4 linked regions of the Caenorhabditis elegans genome follow. The protein of the gene in region 2 purifies or fractionates together with the protein of the main gene of each other region. This does not show direct contact. Each region holds a gene or a part of one and is shown on either strand. Other genes may lie near its edges. The genes, in order: ccm-2, kri-1, hip-1 and icap-1.

Region 1 (8,182 bases), on a different chromosome or scaffold from region 2:
AACTAAAAAGTACAACAAATTTAAAATTAACACTGAAATATATCAGTTCAACACTTTTCTATCAGCCGACATTTGACGGGCACCCAAAATTTTGATTTCCTATTTTTAAACTGCTATATCTTCAACGCTGAAAGTGCTATCAAAATTTTGTCAACTAGAAAAATGCAGGTCATTTTATGCTTTTTAATTTGCTAGTTGAAATTGTTTTGCTATCTCTTGTAGTTTTTGAGAAAAACGTGCTCAAAGAGCGCCACAGTGCAAAACAAAAGACGCAAAGAGGAGAGAAACGCAGAGAAACCAGAGTGTCTAACTGTCTGCGCTCTCGCCTCTACTACAGACTATGTTCTTTTGCTATAAATGACAAACAAAAAAATGAGGTATTACTAGTTGACCAACCAGCCTCTCTCTCTCTGCAACCTAGTCGTCGTAAATATCTTAACAACAGAACGGGTGGGGCGAGAGACGAGAGTGTGCACGAGAGACGCAGACGGTTAGACGGGTGAAAACTGGAAAACTAGCCATCTCAGCCACCCAACCAACCTACTAAAACAACATTTTGAATCAGAATATATTTTTCTTTTACTTTTGATGCCTGATGAAAATATATAAAAAATGAAAAACAACATGTTATTGTTGGCAGCGGCGGAGGAGAGGGAGGGACGTGCATAGCTAGAGAGGGAATATCTCAAAAACTACGAGTGCTAGAGAAAAATTGTCAACTAACAAATTATTTTGCAAAAAATTTCCTATATTTTGTCTGTTGATAAATTTTTGATTACACATTTAGTTTTGTAGATATGAAGGTTCAAAGTTTGGAATACAATTTTAATTAATTTGAAAAACAAAAACTCAATTATCTCCAAAACTATTAGAGATAGCAAGAAGTTGCTAACTGAAAAAATATTTGGCATAAAATTTCCTACAATTTGTTCTTTAAAATTTTTGAATAGCATTTCTAGATTTGGCGATACTGCAGTTTTAAAATAAGAACTACCCTTTTAGAATCCGCAAGATGTCGGCTGCAAGCCTTTTTTTTAACGTAAAGAGAGTTTGTTTTCATGCTTATAATATGATACATTTTCCATTTCGAAATATTTTTCGAAATTGGTTGATTTCGCGAGCAGCCGGCATTTTACTGGTTTTCAAAGAACCACCTGTCAGATGGTGCAAGAGGTCTAGAGTAAGCTTACAAAAACTCATTTATCACAAAAACCATTGAAGTTATATAAAAGTAGTAAACTAACAAAATATTTTTCACTAAACTTCCTACATTTTGTTAGTTCGCATATCTAAAATAGCATTTTTAGTTAAGGAGATATACAGGATTCAAGTTTCAGGGCGAGTAAAAAAATTCTAGGCTGAGCGAAGCCGGGAAGTGTCGGCTGCAATTTTTAAGGAAGGTGCAACTTGCTCATTTAATTGCTTGATTTTTAAAAATAGTTAACAATTAAAAAGCTAAAATTAATATTCATTACAATAAATGAAAATAAAATTGGGTCTTTAACGAAAAATTTGGAAAATTTAGAATTTGTCAAACTAAAAAAATTTCAAAATCAAAATTCGAACTTGTATAAATTTTAACTTTACATTTTAATCTTCAAAATATAGCTATAATTAAGAATATCTAATAAGTTTTGAAACAAAGCAGCCGACGTTTCACTGGTTTTAGAAAAATACAGCTTGAATCTGCTCAATAAATTTGTTTTTTTTAACTGTTTTTTTTTAATTTTTAAAATTTTTGAAAATTTTCAACTAAAACGCAACCACAAACAGAAAAGTTAAAAAGGAGTAATCATGAGAGAGAGAGAAAGAGTAAAATTTGCAAAAGACACACAGAAAGTGAGAAAAAGAAGTTTGTGTGCGTTTTTTCTCTAAATCTCTCGCCCGCAGTCACACTTTCGCGCGAGAAAATCTCTTCGGCTTGGGCAGGAAAAATAGTGTACGGAGTGGAGTGATTAGGGATGTTAGATGAATGGTCAAGGAAACATGTAAACTGATAAGGAATTGATGATCAGTGAAATCGGGAATCGGAAGATCAATTTCAAGAGATGATATTTTCCAAGAGCAGCTCCCAGTGCCAAACTTTGAACGTATGTATCTCAGAAACTTAATTAGCTTTCAAAAACTTTTGAACTGGTAAAATTTAAGAAATTTTGTGTATGTATATTTGTCAGTTGATCACTTTTCGGAATCACCGGTAGTTTGGGAAATATTGCTCTGTTTGAAAATAGGACGCTACAATTTAAATTTGCAGAAAATGTCGGCGGCGCCCGTGAGACGTCGGCCGCTATCTCATAAACTAGAAAAGGTAGAAAAAATTTGCCAACTGGAAACGTAGGCAAATTTGTACACTTTATTATTATAATTGCTCACTTTCTGAAAGCATCAATAGTTTTAAAGAGTTTTAAAGATGATATAATTTTAAATTTTGAATGGCCAAATTTGGCGCCCGCAGAATGTCGGCCGCTATCTCAAAAACAAGGAAAACTATTAAAAAACCTTTAAGAAACAAAATGTAGGAAATTTTGAGCGTGTTTTATTTTGTTAGTTGGTCATTTTTTGATATAATATTTAATTTTGAAGATACTAACAGTTTTAAATAACATAGCGTCGTTTTTACGGTTCCCGCAAGATGTCGGCTGCTATCTCAAAAACTGGGAATGCTATCAAAACTTGTCAACAAAATTTGAATATTTTTGTGCATTGCATTTTAGTGAGTAACAAATTTCCAATATTTCTGTAGTTCTTTACTTTAAAAAAAATTGACTACAAATTTGAGCCAACACAGATTAAAACAAAAAGTATTAAAGTATAAAGTTTCAGTTTAAAATTCAAAGTGAAGAGAGAATAAAGAATAACAAAAACTTACGTGACGCAGTCTGTAGTTGTTGTTCGGCGAAGCGTGCGAAATTAAAATTCAGCTCTTCTGATAGCTTTTCGGCCGTTTTCTAGAAATATAATTTGTATAGAATAAGACTTTAAAAGTGAAAATTTTTTTTTTCTAAACAAGCAGCCGGCAAATTCAGAGTTCAACAGAGCAGCCGACATCTCGTGGGCTTCAGACATGGAGCTACCAGACTTTGAACTAATTCTTCTTGAAAAATTTTTGCATCTAAAACAAACTTCTTGCCTCATCAGGAAGTGCCAAAACCATCAAATCGCGATAATTTATATTTCCCTGATATGGTGCAATATTGAAAGTGAACAGAACAAGACCATCTTCCGTCAATGAGCCGCAGGAGAAGATCAGGGGAATTGAGACCTCGAAGCAGCAGGTTTTCTGGAATTTTTTGAATTTTCATGTACTTTTAACTAGGGAAATCGGAAAATTCGGTAAAAATTGAATATACAAATTGAGAATTTTGAATTCCGATTTTTTGGAAAAAAAGAGATGAAGCTCTAAAGTTCGGTGGGCTCGGAACTTTTGTTTGTTTTTTTTTTCTTTTTTTTTGAATTGAAATTTCTTCTAACTGTGCAAATACCATAGGTTGAATGTTCAAAAAACCAAGGTAATTATTGACATTGTATAACTGAAAAAATTGAGTTTTATTAATTTTTCGAGAATACAAAACATTTGTTTTCTCAAACCTGATATGGCTTTACTGCTTGAATTTCAAGAAACGTGGGTCCCTCCACGAATTGGTACAGTACCCCGGGGGGTTTCGTGGCGAAACTAAATATATTTCAAAATTACAGTAACTTAGTAATGAAAAAAAAAAACTAAAAAAATGTATTTTTTAAAAAAAAGGTCCTATTTTTTTCCATTTTTTTTTAAAATTTTAATTCCATTGTCAAAATTTGACTTTTTGCTGTTATAAGCTATAAATTAAGTTGGATCATGCTCTCTTCACCCAAATTCAAAGAAAAATTGGGTCCCACCACGAAAAGCTACAGTACCCTCAAAAGTTTTCGTGGCGGGACTCAAAACATTTCCAAATTACCGTAACCTGATCATGATTATACTCATATCAAAGCTCTCAGTGATCTAGAAAACCTATAAAAAAACGAACCAATTTCCTGTCGACCACCACAATTTTGCCATGCAGAACTTGAAGGATGTAGGCGCGAAAATTCACATCGTGGCGGGTTATCGATTTTATCGATTTATTCTTCTGAAATTATTTTGTATAGGAAATTTTAGAAAGTCGATTGAAAATTATACCTTAGCCTTGTCGTAAATCCTCAAAAAATCCGTTCGTCCAAAATCATCCAATCCGGAAAATTTCTCGTTTGAAATTATTCCAATAAACTGAGAAATAGAGATATTGTTTAAGCGGTGGATTTAATTTTTTTGTGTGAAAAAGTTTTAAAAAAATTACGGGAAGCTTTAAATTTTATTGAAAAAAATAAAACTGAAAAAATCGATTTTTTATGAATTTTTTTCCAATAATTTTTTAAAATTCATTATTTTAGTGTAATAAATATTTGAAGCAACACATTTTTTTATTTCGAAAATATTTTTTTTTTCCAATTATTTTCCAAACATTATTGTGAGGAAAATTTCAATTAAAAGGAATTTATATGTATTTGCTTACATATTTAAAACTTTTTTTTTTAGAAATCTATAAGAACCCGATAAAAAATCTTACATCAGTGGCAAATTCCGAAGTTGAAGCGTCCATTTTCTGAAATTTTTTGAAAATTTTTCAATAAAAAAAAACTTTGAAAACTTTTTCAAATTTAATTTTGACAAGAAAATAGTGCAAAATATTTCTGAGAAATAGAGAAAAAAGTAGAAAATAAAACAAACATTGGAGGCTAGACGGGGGGTAAACAAATAAAAACTTCGCTCGTACTTTTCCGGCAAAAATTTGTGCCGAAAATCGATAATTTCCTTATCAGTTTTATCAGTTAGTGATAATTTTGGGTTAGGCACACCCTTTCAGTCAATTTTACTGAAAAAAAAAATTGAAAAGTTCCTAAAATTGTATATGCTTTCTCACTAAAATCAAGAAAAAACGCGTTTTTTCATTGGAGCACGCTTGCAACATGTGGTCGGCGATATATTTGAATTTAACAACTTTATCACTGATTTTTTATGTTTTACAATTAGTTTGAAACATTTTAAAATTTCAATGGAGCTCGTGCATAATCTGACTTTTTTTTTTGAAAATTTGAACAAATGTTAAATTTTTAAAACTGTACACTGGAGCGCGTTTGCACCCACCACGCCACAATTCCCGGGAAAATTCAAACTCTCAAGTACAAAACAATTCATTTTATAGTGTTTTTCTTGTTTCACGAGATCAAAATCACAAATATTACATTTTAAAGGTACATGGGGGAAGGGCGGGGGTACTGTGGCTGAAAAAATTGGAAAAAAGGAATGTACACTGAGGAATTGTAAAAAGGGAGGGTTGGGGTGAGTTGCGAACGAAAAAAACAATTTCAAAAAAAAATCACAGTGGAGCATGTTTGCGCGGCGCGGGTGTGTGGACGGGGAGTCCCAGTGTTGCCAAGGAAAACAGTTTCCGGGGAAACGAAAACCCGGAGAAATGGGCGGAGCCTAAGAAAATTCGAAGCCACGTCCGCAAAAGTGTGTCCGCCCTTTTTTTCGCGGATTGATTTCTCGGGAGTTCAAATTCTGTGGAAACTCTGAGACTTTGGGGGGTCGGGTAGATCAAAAGCGTATTACTGTATTAAAAGGACATCATCAAGCGTGAAAAGCGGGTGTAGGGGGCTCCGGTTGCTGCTGTGAAGCTTGTTTCTGTAGGCGATTGCTATTTGAGGAGAGACGGAGCATTTGAAGCTGGCGGATTGCTGCGGCTGCGTTGTAAGCCTGCAAAATTTGAAATTATCGATTTTTTCCTCAAGTATCGGACATCCATACGAAATCAGTTGAGAGCTCTGCGTCTCTTCTCCCGCATTTTTTGTAGATCTACATAGATCAAACCTAAATGAGACACTCTAACACCACTCAATTGTTAACGAAAATGAGAAATATCGATTTTTTGGAAAACGAAAAAAAATTATTGATTTTTCTCGGAAATTGAACAATGAAAATTAATTTTAAAAATTTTGAAAATATTAACGAATTTTTCAAATATAAAACATCGAAAATTACCTTTTTCCAGTTCCGTTTTGCCAAACTCTTCTTAAGATGTACGGCGACAGTTCCGTGAATATCGTGTGTGTACGCCGTATTTCCACTGATCCACGGATGTGACAGAGCATCCTGACACGTGAATCGGGCTTCTGGGTCACAACACATTAAGTGTGTGATAAAATCTTTAGCTGCAAATTTTCAGGTTTTTTGGCGGGAAAATTGACAATTTTGACCTACCCGAATCGGAAATCTGATCCCAGTAGGGCGCGTCGAACTCGTATTCTCCTTTGATGATCTGTGCGAATAGGTTTGCATCGCTCTCGTCGTAGAATGGTGGATATCTGAAACAATTAAAAGTTTTCGCTTCATTATTTGAAAATCTATTAAAATTTATTCAAAAACTTCAAAATTTTAAGGAAAATCTTCAAATTTTCGGCAATTTTGTCATTGGCGCGCACTTTCTGGGTTGGAAATTAGAAATGTTCTCTTAAAAAATTTGAATTTCCCTATAACCTCCGCAAATACCGTGAATTTGACGTTTACCCGGCAGGTGTCGGCTGCTATAAGCTCTCATGATGTCCGGCGCCTTGTGATCTCTAGAAGCGTCTGCAGCCGACACCTGCCGGGTTGTCGTCTGCTTCATATCTCGTTAAGTCGAGCAGCCGACACCTCCAGGGTTATTAGCATCCAACACCTAACGGGTGCCAGTGGTTTTTCCTAATCATTTGATGTGCCAGCAGCCGACATCTCCCAGGTATACCCCCAAAATTAACTCACCCGCAAAGCAAAATATACGCTATAACTCCAATCGACCAAACATCGACTGCTTTTCCATACGGTTTCTGCTGTAGGACCTCTGGTGCCACGTATCCCGGTGTTCCACACGCTGTAGCCATTACTCCTGAATCTTCGGTTTTTGAAAGTCCAAAATCTGAGATCATTATTTTGGAGTCCTCGTCTTGGTTGTAATATAAAAGGTTTTCAGGTTTCAGGTCACGATGGACGACTCCGTTGTCGTGCATAAACCCGACTGCTTCCAATACCTGAAAATAAAAACTTTGCCAGATTTACACCATATATTTTTCTACAATTTTCTAATTCACAACTTTTTGATCTCTTCAACTGAAAATCTCACCTGTCTAATAAGATTCGACGCGTCCTGTTCCGTGTAGGACCCTTTTGCAACAATTCTATCGAAAAGCTCTCCACCGGTGACCAGCTCCATCACAAGATACACAAACTGCTTCTCGTCGTATGTATCGAATAGTTGAACAATATTGTTGTGTCGGAGCCTGAAAATTTCAAATTTTTCCAGTTTGAATTCGTTTATAGTCACACATGGTTTGCTCAAATTAAAAAGGGGGTACAGTAGTTTTCGTGGTGAGACCCAACTTTTGTCTAACTTGATCAAATTCGTCTCTATCTCGTCTCTATCTATCTATCTATCTATCCATCTATCTATCCCAGACTCTAGCCTACCCTAGACAGCCCTACCCCAGACCCTAGCCTACCCTAGGCAGCCCTACCCCAGATCCTAGGCAGGCCTACCCCAGATCCTAGGCCTACCCCAGATCCTAGGCAGGCCTACCCTAGATCCTGGGCAGGCCTACCCCAGATCCTAGGCAGGCCTACCCCAGATCTCAGGCAGGCCTAACCCAGATCCTAGGCAGGCCTACTCCAGATCCTAGGTAGCCCTACCCCAGATCCTAGGCCTACCCCAGATCCTAGGCCTACCCCAGATCCTAGGCAGGCCTACCCCAGATCCTGGGCAGGCCTACCCCAGATCCTAGGCAGGCCTACCCCAGATCTCAGGCAGGTCTAACCCAGATCCTAGGCAGGCCTACTCCAGATCCTAGGTAGCCCTACCCCAGATCCTAGGCCTACCCCAGATCCTAGGCCTACCCCAGATCCTAGGCCTACCCCAGATCCTAGGCCTACCCCAGATCCTAGGCCTACCCCAGATCCTAGGCCTACCCCAGATCCTAGACAGGCCTACCCCAGATCCTAGACAGGCCTACCCCAGATCCTAGGCCTACCCCAGATCCTAGGCCTACCCCAGATCCTAGGCCTACCCCAGATCCTAGGCCTACCCCAGATCCTAGGCAGGCCTACCCCAGATCCTAGGCAGGCCTACCC
Region 2 (8,407 bases):
CAGGAAATCCTGGAACCCCAGGAGATGATGGACCAGCTGGAAGAGCTGGAAATCCAGGAAGTGACTCAACTGAAGGGGATCGTATGGCTGACTTCAATAAGGATGTGAAGTGCCCAGCTGGACCACCAGGACCACCAGGACCAAATGGATTCCCAGGACATCCAGGACCAGATGGAGATTTTGGAGTTGATGGAACAAATGGAAAAGATGGAGAACCAGGACCAGATGGACCAGAAGGAGATGAAGGAACTCCAGGACTTCCAGGACCACCAGGAGAGGACGGACCAGTTGGACAGAACGGAACTCGTGGACAAGGACAACCAGGACCAGTTGGTGCACCAGGAGCTCCAGGAGGACCAGGAAGAGATGGAGAACCAGGAGAGAATGGACAAGATGGACAACAAGGACCAGAAGGGCCAGCTGGAGCTGATGGACAACCAGGACATCCAGGACCAGACGGACCATCAGGGGATGTTGGAGAGGTTGGAGCTCCAGGAGCTGATGCTGCCTATTGTCCATGTCCACCAAGATCCGCTGAGATGGCTGCAACTGGATCATCCGACTCCCAACCAGCGTCTTATGAAGCTCCAGCTCCAGCAGCAACAAAGGGATATGATTCTCCAGCTCCAGCAGCACCAAAGGGATATGATGCTCCAGCTCCAACTGCTCCACATCCACCACCACCAGCTCCAGTTGCTCCACCAAAGCTTCACGATTATGAATCGCCAGCTCCAGTTGCTGATGCTCATGATGCTGCTCCAGCTGCCCAGCCATATAAGAGAAGAAAGGTGGCCAGAGCTCATATGGTTTAATTTATGGAATTTTTATAAATGTCAAGAATTTATTTTTACATTAATAAATTATTTATTGCAGTTTTCCAAGCATATTAGCACAATTTCTGAAATCTGGATTGGTTGTAGATATTTCTAGTCAAATGCTGCAGAATGTGGCTACTCTAAGAAAGTATCGTCTTTTCTAGCAAAACATTGCAGTAAATTCATATTCAATTTTATTCAAAACGGAAATATCAGAGATTCCAGCTGTAATTCTTCTCTATCCCTAAGCCAAACGTCTCTTGAACAAGACTTTAAGCTTGGCCACAGCCGCACCAGTCATAATCTTCTCTTTTCCACCATAACCAGCAGATGCCTTCTCAATAGTCAAATCCAAATTTCCGAGAACTTCCAGACCCTTATCATCTTTCAAAATACATGGAGCCGAGTTGCCGATGTGTACAGTAGTCCATCCACTAGATTTTCCCTCAGAAAGAGGCATCCATTTGTATTCCAATCCCATACAAGAAGCCTCCGGGACTGTCAGCAACTGCATTGAACCAACTTCTGGACCAGCATTCTCTTGATTATTCTTTCCAAAATGAGCCATGGTCTTTCCGGCAGAACTAGGATATGAACGTCCAAAAACTGGGTCTCCGTGTTTGTACCAAAGCGCCACATATTGCATATGTGGTCCCGTCTCCGTATTGAGAGCACGACCATCAGCTGGAACAGCGTTGGATGGGAAGTTGTCACCGTAGCGAAGATCGTACCAGAGATCATCATAAACCTGAAAAAGAATATGCATTGATAGTCATAGCTAGGTGTCCGCCTACGTACCTACTCTACGTGCCTACTTTACGTGCCTACTATTACGGCTGCCTACTTGCCTGTCTAGAGGTTAAATCAGATTAAATCTCATTTTGGCATTCTTATTTCTGCGACTAATCCACCACGTGCATGCTTCCTTTTACTCATGATTTCTTCATGTATGCCTACGTGCCTACGTCATGCTTACTACGCCGATGCCGGATCATCCGGTTCGGTCTGGTTTTCCACCCTGCACTGGTTAAAGTTTAAGCTCACCTTGAGACCAGTTGGTGGAGGTCTAAGATTACGGAAGATTGTCATGAAATTGGCAGTAGCACCGCCTTCGTATTTCTCGGTGGTCCCAGCGTTGGAGAACAAAGCAACTTCGGTATTCAAATCCAGAAAACCAAGCTTATCAGTTCCATCCTTCAGTTTAGCTAAGACTGGAACCGAGTTTCCACATCTACAATTGTTGAAATAACGAGTTTTCCTAGAAGATTTTGAAGGTTACCTGACAATTTCACGAATACCCTCATTATTCTCATGACGTTGTTTCAACGGGAGCCATTCATACCAATATCCAAGAGAATTGTAGTCTCCCTTGTACTGAAGAATTTGAATCTGTCCACCCAAATCCAGTTTTCCTTTCAACTCCGCTTTGTTGTATGGGAACGAACATTCGACAACCCCGTCATTGTTCCAAGCACGTCCATGAATTGGTTTTCCATGTTTATACCACAATGCCACGTATTGGTTGTTCTGGTTTGGAACACGAACAGGAGCTTCAGGAAATGGTGATCCGATTGGTTGGAATGCCCAAGAGTCTTCTTTTGCAACTGGCATCTTGGATGTTCGGGAATAAATTTTTATGAAGAGTGAACTTTCCAAAAAGTTTATCATCTAATGAAATCTTAGGTTCACGTTTAAAAAAATATCATACAATATTCAATAGTGCTTGTCAAGGATAAATTAATTTTAATAATCAATACATTTTTTGTTGAGAAAATTCGCAGCTTCAAAGTACCAAACACAAGTATTTAAATGATTTTTAGATTTCAAACTGGTTGGGTCAAGCTAGCAACCCGTTAAATTACTTACTGATGACATTTCACTGCAGAATGTTGAGTGACGAATTTACAATTTCAACAGGTTAACTTTTTATCTGAAATATTCTCAACTAATTTTTTGACTGCTTTCAGAGGTCCTAAAATTGTTCCAAAATCCATTGTTGCAGACTTTTGATGATTCAAACGGCGTGAAACATTCATCTTTTGTAGAAGACAAAGTTTTGAAAGTAGTTTTTCAGACCTTCCCCAACATCATGAAATCATTTTCATCTTTAAACTTTAGATTGGCGCCAGTTATTCGGCAGATTTTGGGCAAAGTATCAAAGTTATTTCTCATCAGCACACACTAACAAATTCGGAGAAACCACAAATTTCAACGCGTTATCTTATCGTGAATGTCATCTACTGATTTTATATTTAGGGTGGGTCGGGCGTTGTTAGGATGTTTATACAGTTTTTTGTGGGAAAATAAAAAATAATATGTATTGGAATGGTTACAACAAAATTTGCGTTGTTGAAACTCTGAAAATCAAGATTTCGAGTTTAATAAACTATTACCTGATTATTATAATTTGTAAATACCCTTTTTCTGAAAAAAGATACATTTTTTAGTTTTGAAAAATAACTCGTCACCAAGAGATACGTACTGCATGCTTTTCCACTTCAACCGATCATAAAACATATTGATAAAACAGCCAGATAAGTGTGTCAAGAGCTTAGCTAACATAAATCGCCGCCAAACCAATCAATGCACATTTTGTTACTCGACCGCCTTGTCTCTATGCCTCTTGCTCTCTTTTTCACTCTCTTTTCATCTTTTTTGGGGAGTTTAGGGTGTGGCAACTGATAACTGATTACCTGGACAGTTTTTAGATTCCTCTTGCTTCTTGTCAACTCTTTTATAGCAATATTTTTCCGGAGGTTATTGACTTTTTGTGAAGAATGTTGTAGGCAAAACTGTAGTTTAATCTATGAAATTTGAAATTTGTTTAAAATTTAATTGGTTGTTTATGTGTTTTTCTAACGAGTTTTCTGATTAGTTTGAGTTGATGTTTTTTTAAATTAAATGTTTTAAAATCTTTCCGGTTCTTATGAAATTTCAAATTAGGTTGTTAAAAATTGTATTCTTCATTGGCTTCCCAAATTTTAGTTTACTATGTTAGCCCAAGTTTTTGAATGTAAAGTCTTTTAAAAACTATATGCTTTTCACAATTTTCTCTTTATTTTTTATTTTTTCATTGGTTTCAGTTCAAAACACACACTAAAAATAATTTTCAGAGAAAATGGCGGAAGTATCTGTGGCAATCGTACGTCTTAAAATAAGTGCGTTGTCCGATAAGTAAGTGGGTCGTTGATGTTTCATGAATTGTATGGGAATCTTTAATTTTCAGAGCTATTCCATCAGCTCAGGATTTTGAAATTTGTGTCAAAGAAGAGCCATCTACAGCAAAAAATTTTGGACCAGTAAAACATGTAATTGGAAGAGAAAAACAAACTATGAAATATTTTTTTCTATTTTTGCAGGATTATAATATAAAAAAGAGAGTTACCGTCGGCGGACATACAATTGGAGCCGATGTTTTCAAGCTCCCAAATTTCTCTTTTGAACCATCGAAAGTGAGCACATTAGAAGATATGATTCATGATTATTTTAAGAGAACTGGGTAAGATTTTTAAAAACTATGAAACCAATTAATTTTTATGATTTTTCGTACAATTAATATTCTGTTTTTTAAAGTTCTAAAATTCCAACAAAAAAGAGAACTCGGCAATTGGTGCCAATTTCTTATCCAAATGGCCCAATAAAAAATGTTTGTTTTCAAGTTATTCCCAAGCTTGAACCAAATCTTGCCTTTCCCTTATCCAAATTTTGGTTAAATATTGGAAAAATTTAGATCAAACTGGGAAAAAACCTAAGTGGCTTGAACAATACCCAAGTCTATATTTTTGGGTTCAATTTTTCCAAAATACTGGCACCAAGTCAAAATCACAAAAAAAAAAAGATTTTCGAAATCTACTCAATTCTTCAACTTACCTGACAAATATTTCTGCATAAAAATTTTATAATTTTTCAGAAACATAATTCGCCGATCTGTACGTATTCCATTACACGATGATCTGCATCAACCATCATCTTCAACAAAACCATTTGTTGGACATGTTCCTGGACTTTCACTTGTATGTGTTCCAGTATTTAATAAGGAATCAGTTGAAGTCGCAAATTCTCGTTATGAAAATCTACAAAAAATGGTGAATCTGTGTCACAATCAGCCAGAAATGTTTGATATTCATACAAAAAATATGATTCTGATATTGGAACGATGGTTGATTGACTCACAAACTTTCGATTCTTACTTCTTATCACATTTCTTTATGAAAGAATCTTCGAGAACAAGAATCAAGACATGTGTGCATAATCCAGCTTTTATTGATCTTCAGGAACAATGTATTAGGTAGGTTCTTGTAATTTTTTTTTCAGAGTTTCTACTTTAGTTTAGAATAATCAGGAGAAATTTTGTTCCAAACTCATACACCTAAAATGTTTCAGACACATGTCTCATAGTGTCCGTAGCAATGTATCATCGGCATCCGCTGATTTAGATGATCGTGTCCACGTGGCAAATATTGCCAAAATTGCCATGTTACGGTACAACAAGTTCACGATAAGTGTAATAAATCCTGCATTCAATCCAAATTTCGCTAGTGAAGATTCGGTGGGTTTTTTTTTGGTTGTGTTATTGAAATAATGAAAAATATTCAGTCATGTGTATATTTCTATCCCGGAATTAAACAATGTAGGGCACAAAGAGCTGCATCAAGTACATCACAAGATATGAGAAGTCGACTATATCCGTTGCATAAAGCTGCAGAAGATGGAAATGCTGAGGAGATACGGTGAGGTTTAACGTTATAGATAAAAGATTTACATTATCTGTAAATATTCTTCAAATTTAAAGGAAATAGGCCGGGGTTTTACAATGAAAACTTTTTTTTCAATCCTGAAACCTAAAGGTATTTTTTCGCGCCTCAATGAATTCGAAATAGCCTACGAAACCAAATAATAATTTGAAACTTTTAGGAGGTTCCTGAAAATTGGTATGGACAGTAATCTACGAGACGATGACAGTTGGACCCCATTACATTATGCCTGTTTTCATGGACACTTGGAAGTTGTTCACGAACTATTGAATTCGCCACAAATGACTGCCGTGAGACTTTTTTCTATTCGAAATAGCAGCATATTTCATTTAATAAGATACATATTTGAAGTCAAATCTTGAGTTTCAAAACAAAACCTACCATATTTTTCTATTAGCATCGCAGGTACTCCGTTTTGAAAACTTATATCTAGGTTCCTTCTACAGATATAGAAAGTTATAAATTGCAATACTAAAGAAGAAAAACAAACATTTTGTCAGTTAGCAATTATTCTATAAAACAAAAACAATCGAATTACGAGTTTCCAAAACTTAGCAATGATGTGCAATACTACTTGAGGAATTACGGAATGTCAAACGACAGAATACCTTTGAATTTTAACGCTAGAGACACGTTCAAAATAAAATCTGGAAATTTTGTTCACGTCTGTTGCCAAATGTTTTTGAGGTGACAATTTTAAATGTCTCATTCAAAACTTTTAAACCTCAGATAAATGCTCAAAACAAAGGAGGAGCAACAGCTTTACAGTATGCAGTTATAAATGGAAATGAATACTTGGTTGAAATTCTGACATCTCATGCTTCAATTGATGTTAATATTCAAAATAATGAAGGCTACCGACCTATTGATTATTGTGGAAATCATCCGGCAATTCAAAAGATTCTCGAATTGCAAATCTTCAAATCTAAAATCAATGTGAGATTGTTCTATCTGTAAGCCAAATATTCTACTCAATTTGATTTTAGGTGGATACATCTATTGGATCATTCAGTATAAAATCTCGATCTCCAGAAGAGGCAACGGTAGGAGAAGTATTGGATAGATTGGCAGAAGAAACACAACTGAATAGAGAACAAATGAACTGTTTTGCCCTTTTTGTGTATTCAGAGTCAATGTGTAAGTTTATAATTTCAGTATTTTATGAATTTCTTAATATTTCAGCACTTCAACTTCAACCAGACTCCCTAATAGATGGCAAATTAAAAGTTGATAAGTGGAATACTACAATACGGAAGCTCGTTGGAGATATTCCATTTGAAACACCAAGGCTTAAGCTAAAAAGAAATGCCTATGCTACTGCAAGAATGGAAATTGTTACGGTGAGCATTGAGGCTGTAATTTTTATAAATATCTTCGACATTAAAAAGAGAAATCAGAGAAGTTACTATTCTGACCAACACTACTAATATTAGTTATAGACCACTTCTGAAATTGAAGTTTTACAACCTGAAGACTTCGAATGCCAAAATACAAAATTCATGAAAATTGTTTTATTAAATTACAAAAGTCATTTTGGATTTTAAATATTCAAAATTTATGGGATGAGCAAGATTTGGTGGGGAAAAGTATAGCAAATTGAACCGGTTGAATTGGGATTTTCGAAAAAAAACACCGTAAAATTGGTATTGGATAGGAATTATGTCTAATTAAATCTAAAACAACGGAAATTAGTTAATGAAAAATTGCGTATAAAACTGCAAAAACGACTGGGAAGATTATTCCTCCACGAAGATTCGATGAGTTCACACATTCTCCAATAGGGCATGATGTTGAGCAAACCTGGAAGTTCATAACTTCTAAAATACTGTAAAGTTATTCTAGTCTTATTAATAACTCTATTAGTAAAAGCGAAAAAAAACCAAACCTCAACAAACGATGCAACAGATTCCTTGCGATCATGAGAATCGTCTCTGCTGAGTAAATGTCGGCGGACCTAAATGCATTGATCAATTTTCGAACGAATGATACTCCTGTTTCAAATTTGCTAATAGATTTGAAATCTCGATAGTGGGAGTTTGACACTTTCAAAATAGAAAAATTTAACATTTGGTCGAATTTTGATTTCTCTTTTTAACAACCTACCTTTCGGCTAATTTTCGAGTTGTACAAAGTGCATCCCGTCACATCAGATTCCATTCCACAATGCCGTTTCGTCACAATTTTCTCTGCAAAAACATATAAACAATATGGGACAATATATGGAGGGATAAACAGTATGGTCGGGACCATCCTCTAATTAGCTGTGAGAGAAAATGTAATGTCGGTATTATTATAATTAGGTTTGGTGGCGGGAAAGTGAGACCAGAGGAAAAAAGCGCAATTACCAGAACTTCCTCCTGTTCGGTACCAGTTGACAATACAATGTGTGTGTGTCGCATTTGTGCATGGGCTTGGAGCTAAAAGACCTTGACGGCATGCCTCGATTCTTCTGAAATCTTGGATTTTCAGAAATTCCTGATAGATGTACAATTCAAGAAAAAACTCATAATCTACTGAAAATTTGAAATGCAGCACTAAAAAATCGAAAAAAAAACAACAAAATTAAGCATTTTTTCAAAATAGTGGTTTTCCAAATTTGAATCTTCCTGGTCAAATTAACTCAAAAAATACTGCAATATCAAAGTTAAACCTATCAAACGAGGTATGCTTCGAACAAAACATAGCCATAAAATGAAAAAACACAATTTAAAAGTGGATTTTCTTTTAAAAAAACTTTTTTTGCTTCTCCTTAGCGGAATTTGAGGATTTAAAAAAAAACTATGTTGAGTATTTTAAACCAAAATCCCTAATTTCTTCACCTTGTGAAATTTTGCTATT
Region 3 (7,959 bases), on a different chromosome or scaffold from region 2:
TAAAAGTCTTTAACATTTCAGAAAAGCCAGGAGATTCCGTTTGAAATTTCAACAGAGCTAATCTTAATCCAGAAACCCGTCGTTCCAAAAATAACTTCCTTCTTTTATGCCAGCGCCACCAAGCACCGAGTTGATAGGAAAAAGGTTTGCTCCCTTCATAAAACTAGAATTTGTCAAAGAAACTCAATTTTAGGTGGAAGAGGAGCTGGAGGACGAGATTCAGGATATTGTCGAGGAGTCCATGAGAACCGTCGAGAGAAGGAAGAAGCATGACAACGACGACGATGATGATGATGAAGACGGAAATGAATTTGATAATAGACATGACCCAAAGCGAGATCATCGCCTCCACTGCAAATACCGCAAATCATGCTATGAGTCTGGGAAACGAGGGCTCATAGAGCCATTCGACATTTCCTTCGATCATATTTTCCATTTTTGGAGAGCTCCAGCAACCCAACAGCATCATCTTCCAATAACTGAAGACGCAGATCAGGATGGTGTTCCAGACTCTGAAGATGATGATGTCACCCTTGCAGATCGCAAGTTTGTGTGCAAATATCGAACATCATGCTACAAGGATCACAACATACCGTTGAGTGACAAGCTTCAGGAGCGAGAGAGAAGTTTCATGAGCGCCAAGCTTCAAGTTCCGCAGGGAAAAAAACGAACGTTGAAGGATATCGCAAAGAAGGCTGTCAGCGGGGTAAAGGAGAGGGAGGAGGAGGCGAAGGCTCGTCCCGTCCCGAAATCCTTGATAGTGGAAAAGAAACTCCAAGAAATTGAGAATCAACTGCAGAAGAAGCTGGACTGCAAGTATCGCAAGTCGTGCTACGAGACTGGACAGCTTCCAGAAATCGAAGAATCGGCTTTCACAAGCTTCTCGATCCCATTTCTGTCAAAGGGGTCTGATAATGATGATGATGATGATGATGATGATGATGACGAGAAAGAACAGAAACCATTCGAGGATATGAATGACTTGGAGAAAAAACACCACTGTAAATATAGAAAATCTTGCTACGAAACCGGAGAAAGACCAGAAATCGAGAGCGAACTAGCTTTCGAGTCATTCCGGGACATTCTCGAGATGCCGGATAAAGTGGAAACACGGAAGTTGACACTTCAGGAACGGTGCAAGTACAGAAAGTCTTGCTATAAAACTGGAATCATTCCGGATCTCAGCAGTGATGACGAACACATCGAGAAAGTCATTAAGAAGGAGGTCAGCTCGGTGGTTCCATCAACCGTTCGCGATCTTAAGACACTGTGCAAATATCGCAAATCTTGCTATGAGGAGATTAGCGAATCTGCTAGTGTTGATATTGTGCAAACCATCAGGAAAAGACGGATGATAGAGAAGGAGGTGAGAAAACGAAGAACAAGACGTCACCGAAGACTTCACAAGCGTCATGCGATGATGAGTCGGTACGGAATGACATCAGGCTCGGCGAGTAAGTACGACAAGGTCGAGAAGACGCAGAAGGAGCTTCAAGACATTGCTGATGCCCGGGAACATCGGAAAGATGCACCAGCACCAAAATCTGTGAAGCTACACGGAAAGAAGAAGGCGATGAAAGCTGCAGTGGAAGACGTGATCGAGCAGAAGATCGTAGAAGCAGTGGCTCAGCAAGACGTTGATGATAATGATGATGAGTCAGAATCAGAACCAGAACCCGAGAAAAATAGTAACAAGAAAAACTCAAAAAGGGTGAAGGAACCTGAGCCTGAACCAGAAGAAGAACCAGAGCCTGTAAAAAAGTCGAAAAGAAGCTTGAAAAAAGTGAAGGTGGCTGTTCCTGATCCAGCGCCCGAGTCTAAAGATGAAGAAAACGAGGAGTCAGTTTCTGAGCAGGAGCCTGAGTCAGAGTCTGAACCTGAGCCAGCCAAAAAAACTAAAAGAAGCTTGAAGAAAGTGAAGGAGCCGGAGCCAGAGCCAGAAGAATATGAACAACCGACCCCAGTACCCGTTCCTGTTCCGGTAAAAATGGTCATTAAGAAGCAAGAGGAGCCGGAACCAAAGTCTGATTTAGAAGAAAATGACAATGACGACGATGAAGGTACTGAGTTTGACAACAAGCACGACCCAAAACGAGACCACCGTCTCCACTGCAAATATCGCAAGACTTGTTATGAATCTGGCAACCGAGGACTCATCGAGCCATACGACTTCTCCATCTGGCACATTGTGCACTTCTGGGCCGCGCCACCATCTCAGACCCACCATAACTACGGAAAACACAAAGACTCTGATGGCGACGGGGTTCCAGATATTGAGGACAAGGACGCTGCAATGGCCGATAGAAAGCTTTCCTGTAAATATCGTCCGTCGTGCTATGAAAAGTACGATATTCCGGTTGGAGAAAAGATCTTGGAGAGGGAGCAGAAGAGAACAGAGGCATCAGATTCTGAGGAGAAGGATGATGATGATGATGATAATGATGATGATGTTGACGATGAAGTTAGAAAGATAAACTTGAAGGCCGCCGATCGCCGTTTGGAATGCAAATATCGAAGATCTTGTTACGACAGCGGGGTTCTTCCAACCATCCAGCAGTGGAGTGAAGCTCCAACTCTCACTGAAACTATTGCCCTTGGCTCGAAAAATGCAAAAATGCAAAAGTGCAAATACAGAAAGTCTTGCTATGAAGCTGCAGGAATCACTGACAAGGATGATGATGTAAAGGACAATGAGGAACGCCATCTCAAGGAGAAGCTGAAGCCTGTAGAATCAGAACGCCACCACCACCACCATTCCAAACACGGGAAGAAGAAGCATCAGGAGCCCGAGGATGAGGAGGATGATGATGAAGAGGAGAAAGAGGAGAAGCAGAAGAACAAGGAAGAGAAAAAGGAAGATGCGAAGATCCACGAGCAGACTGATAAGGAGACTATCGAGCAAGGTGTGAAGGATATCTCCTTGTCAGCCGCGGAAAAAAGCTGGTGTAAGTACAGAAAGTCGTGCTATTCATCAGTGGAACCGAAGGCTGCAAAGCAAGATCACTCTGGAACAATGGCCAGGAGAGGTAAGCCGTTTTAGCTTTTAAATACTACAAAAAGGATGGCAAATCTTGAGAAAATATCAACATTTCAACTCTTAGCTAGCTTTTTCACGAAAAAGTTTTAAAATTGAAATGAATACAATTTTTTTTCCGAATTTGCGTTACTATGAACCTCCAAACTCCTCTTAAATTTCAGAAGGAAGCGGTAAAAAGTGTCACATCTACTACTTGTCTTGTCGCGAAGCAATGGGTCTTCCACCAAAGAAGAAGGCACCAATGGGTCCCAACGGCAAGCGGTTGTGTCGCAAAGTGAAGAAAGACGACTGATCTCCCTGTTTCCCTGTGCCTTTTTTTTTAGTTTAGTAACACCCGGCTGAGCCATTTTATCGGTCATATGTCATTTTCCCGTCAATTCTTGTAACTATTCAGACAATAATGACGTTTAGACTTTCTTTTTTCTCTGAAATAAAATTTTCAAATGCAATTCTTACATTCGGCTCGACCTCCTTGAGCCACTCGTTGGCGGCTTCATCGTAATCCAGTTTGCAAGCTGTGGCGAGGTCGGTCTTTGCCTCGACCCACTTGCCGAGAAGACGATTGGCACGACCGCGGAATTTGTAGCCTTGTGCCGAGTCTGGGTTGATAGAGATCGCTTTGTCACAATCAGCAATCGCTGCGACCGGACGTTTGAGCTTAAGAAGGACGCTGAAAAATGCGATTATTCAGGTTTTGAAAAGAAAATCCTCACTTGGCTCTCTTGGCGTGAAGCATTGCAGATCCTGGATTAGCCTCAATTGCGGCGGTGAAGTGAGTGAGGGCTGTGTCGAAATCGCCGTTGGAAAACGCCTCTTGGGCTTTTCCTCTCTCCTCGGAGGCCTTTTCGATCTCATCCTCGGTGGCTTCTTTGGCAGAGTCTCCCATTGGCAAAGCCACCGCCTCTTCTGGCTCGATGACTCCCTCGTTGTCAATTTTCGGGAATGGAATCTCCTCCGGCTTCGGGATTTCTGGCTCTGGAGTTGCCTCGGCGGCTGGAGTTTCCTTCTTTGGCTCCTCAGACATCGGGCACTTTCCTTCTGGCTTGTCAGCTGGTTTTGGGGGAAGAGTGGCTCCAAGGCTGAAAATGTGGCACATGTTTGAGCTGAATTTGTACTAGAAAACTTACGAAACAAGGTAATCCTTAAAAAATCCAAATTCCGGGGCGTGCAAAACCGCCGGGTTCGCTTGGCACATGCCAACGAATTGCTTGAGCAATGCGACGTGGTCCATTTTCTGGAAGGTAAAAGCTTTGGAGTTTATTTTAAATCATTTAAAGGAATAGGTTAAGAATCAAAAAATAGAGAATTGAAGTGTTTATTCAATTTGTTTGGAAGTGTAAACAATATTGCAAACAGCACGTGATGCCGCCAGAGGTGTTCCGACTACGCAAAGAGGGGATTTAAAGTGAAAAATAGATAAATACCTGATAATTTAGATCAAAAAATTAGAATAACGCCTTTTAAACCAAAAAACTCCTTTGAATTATCGAAAATTCTAGAAATTCTCGAGAAAAATAAATTTCAAAACAGGCATATTCTGTGCATTTGCGCGTGGGATCTAGCGCCCGTTGTGCATTGCGCCATGGCATTTGAAATTGGCGCCCGAAAATTTTTTGTTTTATATCAATTTTTTGGCTTATCGATAATTATCCTTGAAATTCTGCAGAAAAATAGATTTTTCTGTAAAATTTCGCAGGAATTGTATTCAGCACGTAATGTGCATGGTTTCCGTGGCAACTTGGGCGCTCTTTGCTTCTCTGTGCTCTATGCTCATGCCGCAACTCGAAAATTCGAATTTTAATTCTAATTGCCCTCTGTTAACCCTCTTTTTCCCGCCGGATAACCTCCAAACTATTGGTATCTTGTCGATGAATCGGTGAGAAAAAGTTCCGAACAACAAGAATTCGGGATGTTGTTCTTCCTCGCGTCTCCACCATCTCCACACACTCTCACGCGGTTGAACGGACAGTCAGGACACCGCCGCGCGGGGAAACTGCCCGTTTTGGTCGTCTCTTCTGCTGTGTGTGTCTACTATTCAAATAAACTCGCCAATCGATCGCCATTTCAGTTCATGTGCGGTGAATAATGTGTTGTGAAACTCGTTTTTCTCGGGAAATAGCCGAGAAAGGCTGAATTTTTGCTTGAGAATTTCTGGAAGGCATGAAATGTTTTCAGCTCTCTTCGAAAATCTTCTACCGCCCACCCATTTTCCTCCCGAATTGTTTCGTCCCCGTGACTCATTCTCTCTTTTATCGCCAACTTCTCACTCACTGATAATCGATTTTCGTTTTCATCCCGTCTTCTCAATTTTCCAATTTCAGCTGTGAGAAATGGACGATTTGGCTGATTGTCGTGAGGTTTTCGCCTATTTTGACAGCAAAGGCGACGAGCGAATCTCTGTTCAGCAGGTTTTTAATTCAATATTTTACTTTTTTAATCCAAAATTCATATTTCAGGTCGGTGATGTGCTCCGCGCGCTCGGCCAGAACCCAACAGAAGCCGAAATTCACAAATGTGTCGGCTCGTTCGATCGGGAAGCTCGGCTTTCATTCGAGGACTTTGTCCCAATTTTCCAGTCGGTGTCCAAGAATCGGTTCGTGGCGAATTTTCAGTTAATAAATTTCAATTTCTACATAATTTCAGTGAAAAGCACACCGTTGAGGAGTTCGTCGAGGGGTTGTCGCATTTCGACAAGGAGGGAAACGGAATGATCAATGTCGCAGAGCTCCGACACTTGCTCACCACTCTTGGTAGGATTTTGAGTGAATATTATCAAAAAATTAATATATAAGTAGCTTTTCAAAAATGTTCTGCTGGTCTATACAATTTTAAAGTTTACCCCAATTTTATCAATTTTTTTTCAAGGAGAACGCCTATCCGATGAAGACGTCGATCAATTGCTCTCCGGACACAACGATTCTCACGGAAACGTCAATATCTCGGATTTCGTACGCGCTGTCATGAACTCCTAAAAAATAATCGAATTCAGCTGATGTAAATATATCATTTCCATTAATTTCCTCGGCATTTTCCACACAATCTATTTATTTATCGACTTTTTTGCATCCGTTAATTCTATTTCTTATTCGCTCTCTCCCAGTTCACCAAAAAAAACTTGCAACGATTCAGTGAACAACTTTGTATCCTCCGTGTTTTAAGATGAATTTTTCTAAATTTTAATTCTAATTTCATAATTTTTGTATTTCGTGTTACATCTCACATGATATTTCTGTATTTCCTCTCCGTTATTTTTGTGGGGAAATCCATATAATTGCATTTTCAGAAAGAAAAATGGCAGATACAGGAGAAAAAGACACAGAAACGACGGCAAGTGGTACCGATGGACACAGTAAAGAGGCGCTTGCTGTAATAAGCATGCTCCACGAGTGTGGAATTCAAGAGTTTGATCCACGCGTCGTTTCAATGCTTATGGATGTGAGAAAATACAAAATTGAGCTCTAAAAATTCAAAAAATAATGATTTTTTCCAGGTTCAATACGCAGTGACGTCAAAAATCCTCCAAATGTCAAGTGGACTGTCCAGGCATGCTGAAAAAGCGCAAATCGAGGCAGAAGACGTTCAAACGGCGGCCGACATGCTCGGCGTTCTGACCACAAACGCTCCGGACCGTGAGAAGATTCTGCAATTGGCGAATGACAAAAATCAGCAGCCCCTACCGCAAATTCGACACAATTATGGCCTGAAGCTGCCCAACGATCGATTCTGTCAATTACAGCAGAATTTTGTGTACAAAGCTGACGACAGTTATCAGCCGTACGTTTTTTTTCTCGATATATCTTGAAAAATCTGTAAAAATTTGATTTTAAACGGAAAGAAGGTATTTTAAAGTGGAGTACGACCAGTGGGGAAACTATTAAAAACCATTCCTATGGTTCAAAAATGACAAAATAACAATAAAAACTCACAATAGAACTTTTAAAAAAATTATGATACTTTTCCTTTTTTACACCGCATTTTTAAATGAATATTCAAAACATTGAATTATTCAAATTTAATTCTCACGTGAATCATTTTCAGGCTTATGGGGTTATTCAAGTAATGTAGCAAAATGTATTTAAATACATTTGTGACGTCACAAATGTATTTAAATACATGTTTTTATATACTTGAATACAGTTGTGACGTAATTAATCTACACTTTTTAATTTTCCGACACTACTTGAATAACCCCATTAGAAAACAAAATTACAGAAAAAGTTCACATTTTTATCCAAGAAAATGTTCCAGAAAAATGCGGGGTAGAAAAGGAAAAGTACCAAATTTATAGAAGATTTTTTGTTTCAAGTAAAAAAAGGTGTTGTTTGGAGCCACCTTTCGAGAAATCGAAAACACTTTCGCATTTTCGTGCCCCCAAAATAATTAAATATGAATGCATAAGACATGGAATAAGTTTTTTTTAATCGATAACTTCCAAAAACATTTGTTAAAAACTAAGTTTTCACCGCTTTTTGAGCCGAAATATAAATTTTTTCCGAAATTTTCATTCTAAAAATTTACAGAAATTCTATATTTAAACTTGTCGATTTTCAATGCTTTTTGTGGCTACTGTCAGTTTCATTTGAAAAATATTGATTCAAATTTGCATTTTCATCTCAAAAATTGTTTTTTCGAATCAAAAATACAAAACCTTGACACAAAACTAAAAGTCACATATTTTCCGACAATATTCCATTTAGTTATTGTTTTTAAATCTTTATGGCATGCGTTTTTTTTTTCTGTAGTAAAATGAAATTATACATATCAAATTCAAAATTTTCAAGTTTTCAGAATGGAAATGCAACAAGTCACCCATCAGCCACATATCATCGAACCACCAACACAAGTGCTACGGCCGGAGCATGTACAGAATATGCTCAAGCGAAGAGCTCCAGACGATGATTTTGACTCATAACTTTTTAATT
Region 4 (6,909 bases), on a different chromosome or scaffold from region 2:
TTTCAGGCGTTAAAAAATCAATAAATTACACATTATTTTCAGGTTATCGATCACTACGAGAACCCGCGAAATGTCGGATCACTTGACAAGAACGATCCAAGCGTCGGAACAGGAATCGTCGGCGCTCCAGCTTGTGGAGATGTCATGAAATTGCAGATTCGAGTGAGTTTTTTCACATTTTCCGGGGAAAAAATTATTATATTTTAAAGCTAAAAACATTTCCAGGTCGACGATAACGGAAAAATCATCGAAGCCAAATTCAAAACATTCGGATGTGGAAGTGCAATTGCCTCATCTTCCCTGGCAACCGAATGGATTAACGGAAAAACTATCGATTACGCGTCGAAAATTAAAAATGACGAAATTGCCAAAGAATTGTGTCTTCCACCAGTCAAACTTCACTGTTCAAGTGAGCTTTTTTCCCTATTTTTCTCGATTTTTTTCGCAACTAAAAATGTTTCAGTGCTCGCCCAAGACGCCATTCAAGCCGCTTTGAAGGATTATCAGAAGAAGCAGACTAAGAAGGCCTAAGCCTGAAGAATGTGTAATAGACAATTTGTTTTCGTTATAGAAATCGCTATATATAAAAGAGCTTTTTTGTCACCTTTTCAGTTGCATAATGACGAATTCCAGCGGAATGCGACAGAAGCTGTCTCATTGTGATTTTGACGTCTTCGTTTTTGAACTTTTTCGCCGGGAATTCAGGAAGATATTTCTGAAAAAATTAATTTCAGATTTTCCCTTCCGTTTTAAGTTGCAAACCCGAATATCCTCATCAAGATCTAATGTTCCATTTTCAACGCACTGTGCTGCCAACGTGGCAGTTATCGGCTTACTGATGCTCGCAATTCGCATCACAGAATCTCCTGTACATTTTGCAAAACTTTCGAGATTTGCATACCCAAATCCACTTTTCCAAACCATTTTTCCATCCAGCGAAACTGCAATCGAAAGGCCTGGAATACCTTGAATAGCCTGAAAATAATGTCGAATTGGAGAAAGTTATTACACAGACTTGGAATTTAGAGATTTTTCCGCAATTACCTGGTCTCGACACGACAAATTTTTGTTAAATATGAGAAGGTGTGCGCCTTTAAAGAATACTGTAATTTCAAATTCTCATTTCTGTGGAATTTCAATGGATTTTTCACGATTTGTCAAAATATGAGTGTTCTTACTGTTTTTTACAGAAAAAATCGGGGTTTTTCCGATAAAAATATAATTATTTAGTAAAAAACAGGAAAAACACCTATATTTTAAAAAATCGTGAGAAAAATTCCACGGAAACGAGAATTTCAAAAGTGACAGTACTCTTTTAAAGGCGCACACCCTTTCGCATTAAACAAAGTGTCGCGTCGAGACCCGGCACCGTATTTTTGGTACAAAAATCGCAAAATTTCGAGTTCCCAACCAACCATCGTCGTCTCCACTAGCTCCTTGGCTTTTTTGATTTTCAGCAAATTTTCAGATTTTTCGCTTTCCCTCCGGAAAACTGTGGCTCCCAATGGAACAGCAACAGCGGTGGCACCAAGAAGCATCTTTGGACAGGAAGTGTACCATGACATGCTGGAAATTTTTTTTAATTTTTCCAAGCTCTGCGAGCTAGTGACAAATATTCCAAAGATGAAGCAACAAATGGTTCTAGGTGGCAAAAAATAACTTGAAAAATTAAATTTTTATTTTATGTAACAAGCAAAAAAAAAGAAAAAATTAAGCAATCGACGGAGATGGCGGCTCAATTACTTCGATGAGAGCACTGGCTTCCTCGGCTTCGATGAAAGCGTTCTGAAATAAAATAAATGACTATTACGAAAACTATGAAACATCCCAAAACCTTCACTAAATTACACAAAATATTAGAAGAAGCGTCGTCAGTGGCCTGAAGAAGATGGAGTTGGTATCGTGTAGTTGTGCTTTTTTCGACGAAGACTATGTTGGTTCTGAAATTGTTATTAAAATTACGGTCTCAGGTCTCGAAGCGAACGGAATTTTTTCTTGGTGATTTTCATCTAATTCATAATTAACCAATCGCACCTTCCAAATCCATCGGCATACGTCGTCAAAAGTATCAGCTCGATCAGTGGAATCCTCAGTTTCACTAATCGTGTTCTTCTCGAAGAAATCCGAAGTCCGTGCTTGGTGACCTCCATGTAAACCTTAAAATTCAAAGTTTTAATTATATTTCAACAAAAAACGGGATCTTCTGCGATTTTACACCAAAATTACGGTTTTGGGTCTCATCGCGACAAATTTTTGTTAACTATAAAAAAAATGGTGTGCGCCTTTAAAGACTACTGTAATTTGAAACTTTGTGAGTTTTCACTGATTTTCCAACGATTAATAACTGTTTTCTTGTAAAATATATTTTTTTATCGAAAAACAAAACAAAAAGAAAATCGATACAACAACAAGAATTACACGTTACAGTATTTACTCTTTAAAGGCACACAACCCTTTGCAAATAACTGTGTCGTGTCGAGACCGACAAAAATTCTGCGTTTGTGTAATATTCCCAACCTCCTCATGAGAATCCCCGTTGTTTTTCGGTAATTTCCCTAAAAGTTGGCTATTTTCCAAGTGCTCAACAATTTTTTCCTCGAGAGATCGACTGCAAGACGTTCCATTTTGAATTAGAGAATTTATCTGGAAAATTAAATGTTTTTTTTCTGAAGAAAACCTAGTAAACTTTAAAAAATTCCTTACCTCTTGAACTGCCACGTATAATGCTGAAATTTTCGGGTCTGTCATTTTTTTTTTTGAAAAATGTTCAAGCGAGTTTCTGGCGTCATAATGTTTGCGGAGGACTCCCAACTGATAAAAACCTTCCCCATTTGAAGTGCTGGCGGTGGCCTAGAAATCTCAATGAAATAAGCAGAGTTTTATTTTCAAGTAAAGGACAAGAAAAAATCAATAAAAAAGATTTTATCGTTGAGCGGGTGGGGTGTTCGTCACACTTGAACCAGTAGTCTCGTCGGCGATTAGTTGACTGTTGAAACGAAAAGCATGAGGAGTTGCAATTGTCGAATTTTGGAAATTAAGAGTTGTATTGTCACGGAATGGGGTGCGCTGAAATTTGAACAAATTAAAATATTTTTTTGAGTTGAAACAGTTCGGAAAAATGCTCAAAAATTGTGTGAAAATTGGAAATTGCCGGAAAAATCGATAATGTAGCTCATTTCGTAGAACTTCTACTAACCGAGTTCAAATTAGCTCCATATGGAGTGTGGGGTCCAAGAACAGGCTTGAATGATGGTGTAAGCCTATTTGTTAGTCCGGTCTGAAGCCCGGGAAGCCCAGAAGGAGCTGGACTAAACCGTTGGGCTCGGTAATGGGCAATTTTTTCTTTAAGATTCTCATTCTCCATGCTCAGCTTCTCAAAACTATCCATATTCTCGGCGGCCTTTAATTTCTCGTTCTCCAGCTCCTTCCTCAAGATTCCAATAGTTTCAGTGAGACTCTCAACCATCGAATCTTTTTCCTTCAAATCAGCTTCCAGCTCTCCTAGTTTTCTCATATCCAGACTTTGTTGATTCTGTTGTTGGGAGTTTCGCTTCAACAGCTGATCGGCCTTCTCCAGGTTCCGTTGAGCCGTGCCAAGTTCTGCTCGAAGCTTCCCAATTTCTTTCTGATGAGCCACATTTCGTTTCTGAAGCTGATCCACTTTTCCTTGTTCTTCTCTCAACATATTTCCAACAATCTCCAGCTCCTCCTGATTTTCTTCCAATTGCTTTTGCAGCGACTCCGTGTCTTGTTTCAAATCAGCCACTTCATCTTCTTTATCCTCAACTAATAATCGAATATTCTCTCTTTCCTCTTTCACCAGCTCCACCTCATCTTCCAGCTCTTTAAACTTTTCTGACATTTCTTCGAATTCCTCCTTCACACCAGACAGTTTTTCAACTTGTTTTTCCAAATCTCCACATTTCTGCCGTAGGCTTGCTAGCTCATCTGCAGATTTATAAAAAGTGGAGAGTTTCACTGCTTGACTGGAACAAATTTTCAGAAGATGTGAAATTAAATGATCTCCGCGGACTGCGTGAAGCTTGATGGAAAAGATTTTTCCTTTCGAAATAGGAGTCTTCGAGAATAGCTCAAATCTGGAAGAAAATAAAAAATTAAATTTCAATATTAGGTAATCTATTTCCCTTACGAGCAAAAATTCTTCTCGGCATCCAAAATAATATTGATTTCCGTCGGCTTTCCTGGATCAGCAATACTATGATAACCTGCTTTTTTCCGTGCATCAACCTCCCCATCTTCTTCCAAATTTTTCACAATATTTTTACATAACAAGTGTTGAATGATAACTTTCGGAAAAGCATCGAAATCCACTGTTAAATCGTGATCTCGAGCCAAAATCTGATATTTCTCGTTGTTCAACGTTTCCGAGAATAGAAATTCAAAATCATCGGAGCGGCTGATTTCGAATTTTAGCTCCTTTTCTCCACTGGTTTCGTTCCTTTGCTCTGATATTTTCAGCTTAACTTTTGTTTTGTATGCCCTGAAATTCTGTTACTTTTGAAAATCGTTTGCTCCCTTTTCTTACTTAAAATCCGGTTGATTTAGGCTCAACGGCTGTAGAAGTGAGGCGATGAGTGTTTGATCGAATAATGCAATTTTGCTAGTCATTTTTGTGGGAGAAAATCTGAAAAAAATTATGTTAAAAATAGGAAAAAACAGCAGAAAATGAAGAATAAAAAATTTGCGCAAAAACAATAAATTTGAGATGGCGCGCTCTATGGGACTACGGTGTGCGATTGCGGACTTGGCAATTGCGGACAAAACATTGTAAACTACGCCTAACAAAAAATCGCATTTTCTTTTTTTTTTCACAAACTAAAATTCCCCATTTCAGCCCATTTTCCGTCAAATTTTCACATTTTTGAAGATTTAATAAGGGAAAATAGAGAGTTTCCCGCATTTTCAATCATTTCTACAATCCTACGTCGTTTTTTTCTTGTGTGAGCCACTTATCCCGTTTTTTAACAATTTATCTCATTTTTCAGCTTTTTCAGCTTTTCCAGCAAATGAAGCGCATCCAGTCGGAGCTCTTTGCTCCTTATCGATTCTTGGGTGTGGTAACCGGTGATGTAAGCTTTTTTTCCGAATCTGAAGTGAAATTACTTATTTTTTCCAGGTCGCCCCGTCAATTCGTTCAACATTTGTCGCAAAAAAGTCGGCATTGTCAGTTTTGTGCCCAATTGATAATGTAATCATGCAATACAATGGAAAAAAGCTTCGTGCGATTGGAATGTCGGAACCTTTAAGCGATAAAGTGTCAGCAGTCGCGTCTTCTAGCACGTAAGCGGTTTAGAAAAATGCAAAAATAATTATATATCATTTCAGGAGCGTGTTCGCTGCTCACGGAACCAACATTACTTCTCTAGCATTCTGCAGAGATATCAAAGATTCCATCGACTTGGGCGCCAAGATCAAAATCATGACATTAATCGGAACTCAGCTGATCGCAGTTGATATTTCTTCTGGAATCCACGTCATTGATACATCAGAAGGAGGCCTTCAAATGAGCCTATTGATGGAAGGATCCGACGATTTTGAAATAACGGCAATCTGTCACCCATCCACGTATTTGAATAAAATCGTGGTCGGCAGTAGCACTGGTCGAATGAAAATTATCAATTTCCGAACTGGAAAAGTGATTCATGAGTTCCAGCGAAGTTTCGACTCGAGAATCACAATTATCGAGCAAACTACTGCCTTAGATGTGGTAGTTGTAGGGCTGGAAAATGGTGAAGTGATGCTTTTCAATGTGAAAATGGATAAGATCATCACATCGTTCCGACATGACGCAAAGATCACTAATGTCGCTTTTCGGTGGGTTGTGTTTTAAATTGAAAAATATTATTTAAAAAAATTATTTCCAATATTTTCAGTGACGACGGCGAATCAACAATGGTAACTGCCGATAAGAACGGAACAATGGCTGTGTGGGATCTCGAGAAGCAGGAATTAATCGGAAAAATCACGGGAATTCACTCTGACGAGATTAATTGTCTCTATTTTGTTCCAGGGGAGCCTATCATGGTAATTTCCTGTTAAAGGTGGAGTGCGCCCAGTGGGAAAATTGCTTCAAAACACGCCTATGGGGTCACAATGACCGAATATCATGATAAAAAATTCAAAAAATTTTTCCTGATTTTATATGATTTTTTGAAATTTGAAAAAATCTCAGTTTTCTCCTAATTCCTATTTGAATTTCCGCCAATTGGAATCGTTCGATGGAGCGCACTTGCCTTATTTTTATCAATTTATTTTATTTTTTCTCATTATTTCACTGATTTTCTCCATTATTTGTGTATATATTTATCGGAAAGAGAAGTAAAAAAGCAAGATTAATGCAAAATGTTTGTTTAAAAGTGATTAAAAATGCGTAAAACTGTAAAATTATGATTTCCGACGACAACAACAAGATTTTTTAAAAAACACTTTGCATTTATCGTGAATTTTTCTCTCTTTTTCCGAAAAAAATACACAAATAATAAAGAAAATCAGCCGAAAAATGAGAAAAAAATAAAATAAATTAATAAAAATAATGCAAGTGTGCTCCATCGAACCATTACAATTGGCGGAAATTCAAATAGGAAATAGGGGGAAAACTGAGATTTTTTCAATTTTCAAAAAATCATGTAAAATCAGGAAAAATTTTTTGAATTTTTTTATCATGATATTCGGTCATTGTGACCCCATAGGCATGTTTTGAAGAAATTTCCCCACTGGGCGCACTCCACCTTTAAATTCCGAAGAAAAGGTTAAAATTCAATTTTTTCCAGCTCTCCGCTTCACTGGATAACTCTCTGCGTCTCTGGATTTTCGACAGTGCAGATGGAATGCCACGTGAACTTGTCCGCCTGGAAGGACACTCGAAACCATGTGCCAGTATCAAATTTG

Evidence for each region.
Region 1: the proteins of kri-1 (region 2) and ccm-2 purify together in Caenorhabditis elegans (affinity purification with mass spectrometry, with the first as the bait; one study listed by BioGRID). This does not show direct contact.
Region 3: the proteins of kri-1 (region 2) and hip-1 purify together in Caenorhabditis elegans (affinity purification with mass spectrometry, with the first as the bait; one study listed by BioGRID). This does not show direct contact.
Region 4: the proteins of kri-1 (region 2) and icap-1 purify together in Caenorhabditis elegans (affinity purification with mass spectrometry, with the first as the bait; one study listed by BioGRID). This does not show direct contact.

Annotation. Positions count from the first base shown.
Region 1 is NC_003282.8:1,831,071-1,839,252, reverse strand, and holds the start of ccm-2 (CCM (Cerebral Cavernous Malformation) gene homolog), read right to left. Parts: upstream 4,626-8,182; 5' UTR 4,623-4,625; coding exon 4,590-4,622; intron 4,250-4,589; coding exon 4,163-4,249; intron 4,113-4,162; coding exon 4,011-4,112; intron 3,281-4,010; coding exon 3,131-3,280; intron 2,949-3,130; coding exon 2,870-2,948; intron 1,283-2,869; exon of another isoform or gene 1,228-1,282; intron 1-1,227. Other genes in the region: cmk-1 (Calcium/calmodulin-dependent protein kinase type 1), read right to left, coding at 5,654-5,779, 6,065-6,234, 6,284-6,387, 6,824-7,089, 7,182-7,338.
Region 2 is NC_003279.8:8,236,159-8,244,565, reverse strand, and holds the start of kri-1 (FERM domain-containing protein), read left to right. Parts: upstream 1-3,928; 5' UTR 3,929-3,933; coding exon 3,934-3,989; intron 3,990-4,041; coding exon 4,042-4,123; intron 4,124-4,174; coding exon 4,175-4,314; intron 4,315-4,725; coding exon 4,726-5,103; intron 5,104-5,198; coding exon 5,199-5,364; intron 5,365-5,411; coding exon 5,412-5,545; intron 5,546-5,729; coding exon 5,730-5,859; intron 5,860-6,298; coding exon 6,299-6,505; intron 6,506-6,555; coding exon 6,556-6,706; intron 6,707-6,751; coding exon 6,752-6,909; intron 6,910-7,063; exon of another isoform or gene 7,064-7,261; coding exon of another isoform or gene 7,262-7,369; intron 7,370-7,454; coding exon of another isoform or gene 7,455-7,523; intron 7,524-7,672; coding exon of another isoform or gene 7,673-7,755; intron 7,756-7,914; coding exon of another isoform or gene 7,915-8,018; intron 8,019-8,407. Other genes in the region: col-63 (Nematode cuticle collagen N-terminal domain-containing protein), read left to right, coding at 1-812; nsph-2 (Nematode Specific Peptide family), read right to left, coding at 1,060-1,563, 1,860-2,046, 2,095-2,426; T02E1.8 (uncharacterized protein), read right to left, coding at 7,262-7,369, 7,455-7,523, 7,673-7,755, 7,915-8,018.
Region 3 is NC_003281.10:13,617,956-13,625,914, forward strand, and holds the start of hip-1 (STI1 domain-containing protein), read right to left. Parts: upstream 4,272-7,959; 5' UTR 4,269-4,271; coding exon 4,165-4,268; intron 4,117-4,164; coding exon 3,751-4,116; intron 3,708-3,750; coding exon 3,494-3,707; intron 3,490-3,493; exon of another isoform or gene 3,330-3,489; coding exon of another isoform or gene 3,199-3,329; intron 3,027-3,198; coding exon of another isoform or gene 194-3,026; intron 145-193; coding exon of another isoform or gene 22-144; intron 1-21. Other genes in the region: T12D8.9 (Protein PFC0760c-like), read left to right, coding at 22-144, 194-3,026, 3,199-3,329; mlc-5 (Myosin-2 essential light chain), read left to right, coding at 5,368-5,445, 5,494-5,630, 5,681-5,787, 5,903-6,009; taf-9 (Transcription initiation factor TFIID subunit 9), read left to right, coding at 6,329-6,472, 6,528-6,811, 7,826-7,949.
Region 4 is NC_003282.8:13,784,081-13,790,989, forward strand, and holds icap-1 (Integrin Cytoplasmic domain-Associated Protein homolog), read right to left. Parts: upstream 2,755-6,909; 5' UTR 2,749-2,754; coding exon 2,704-2,748; intron 2,644-2,703; coding exon 2,518-2,643; intron 2,157-2,517; coding exon 2,035-2,156; intron 1,941-2,034; coding exon 1,835-1,940; intron 1,786-1,834; coding exon 1,711-1,785; 3' UTR 1,663-1,710; downstream 1-1,662. Other genes in the region: lact-9 (Beta-lactamase-related domain-containing protein), read right to left, coding at 605-715, 763-975, 1,416-1,565; iscu-1 (NIF system FeS cluster assembly NifU N-terminal domain-containing protein), read left to right, coding at 43-162, 226-409, 464-531; sas-6 (Spindle assembly abnormal protein 6), read right to left, coding at 2,923-3,066, 3,197-4,097, 4,151-4,501, 4,547-4,629; Y45F10D.7 (Small-subunit processome Utp21 domain-containing protein), read left to right, coding at 5,028-5,090, 5,138-5,301, 5,347-5,835, 5,895-6,045, 6,792-6,909.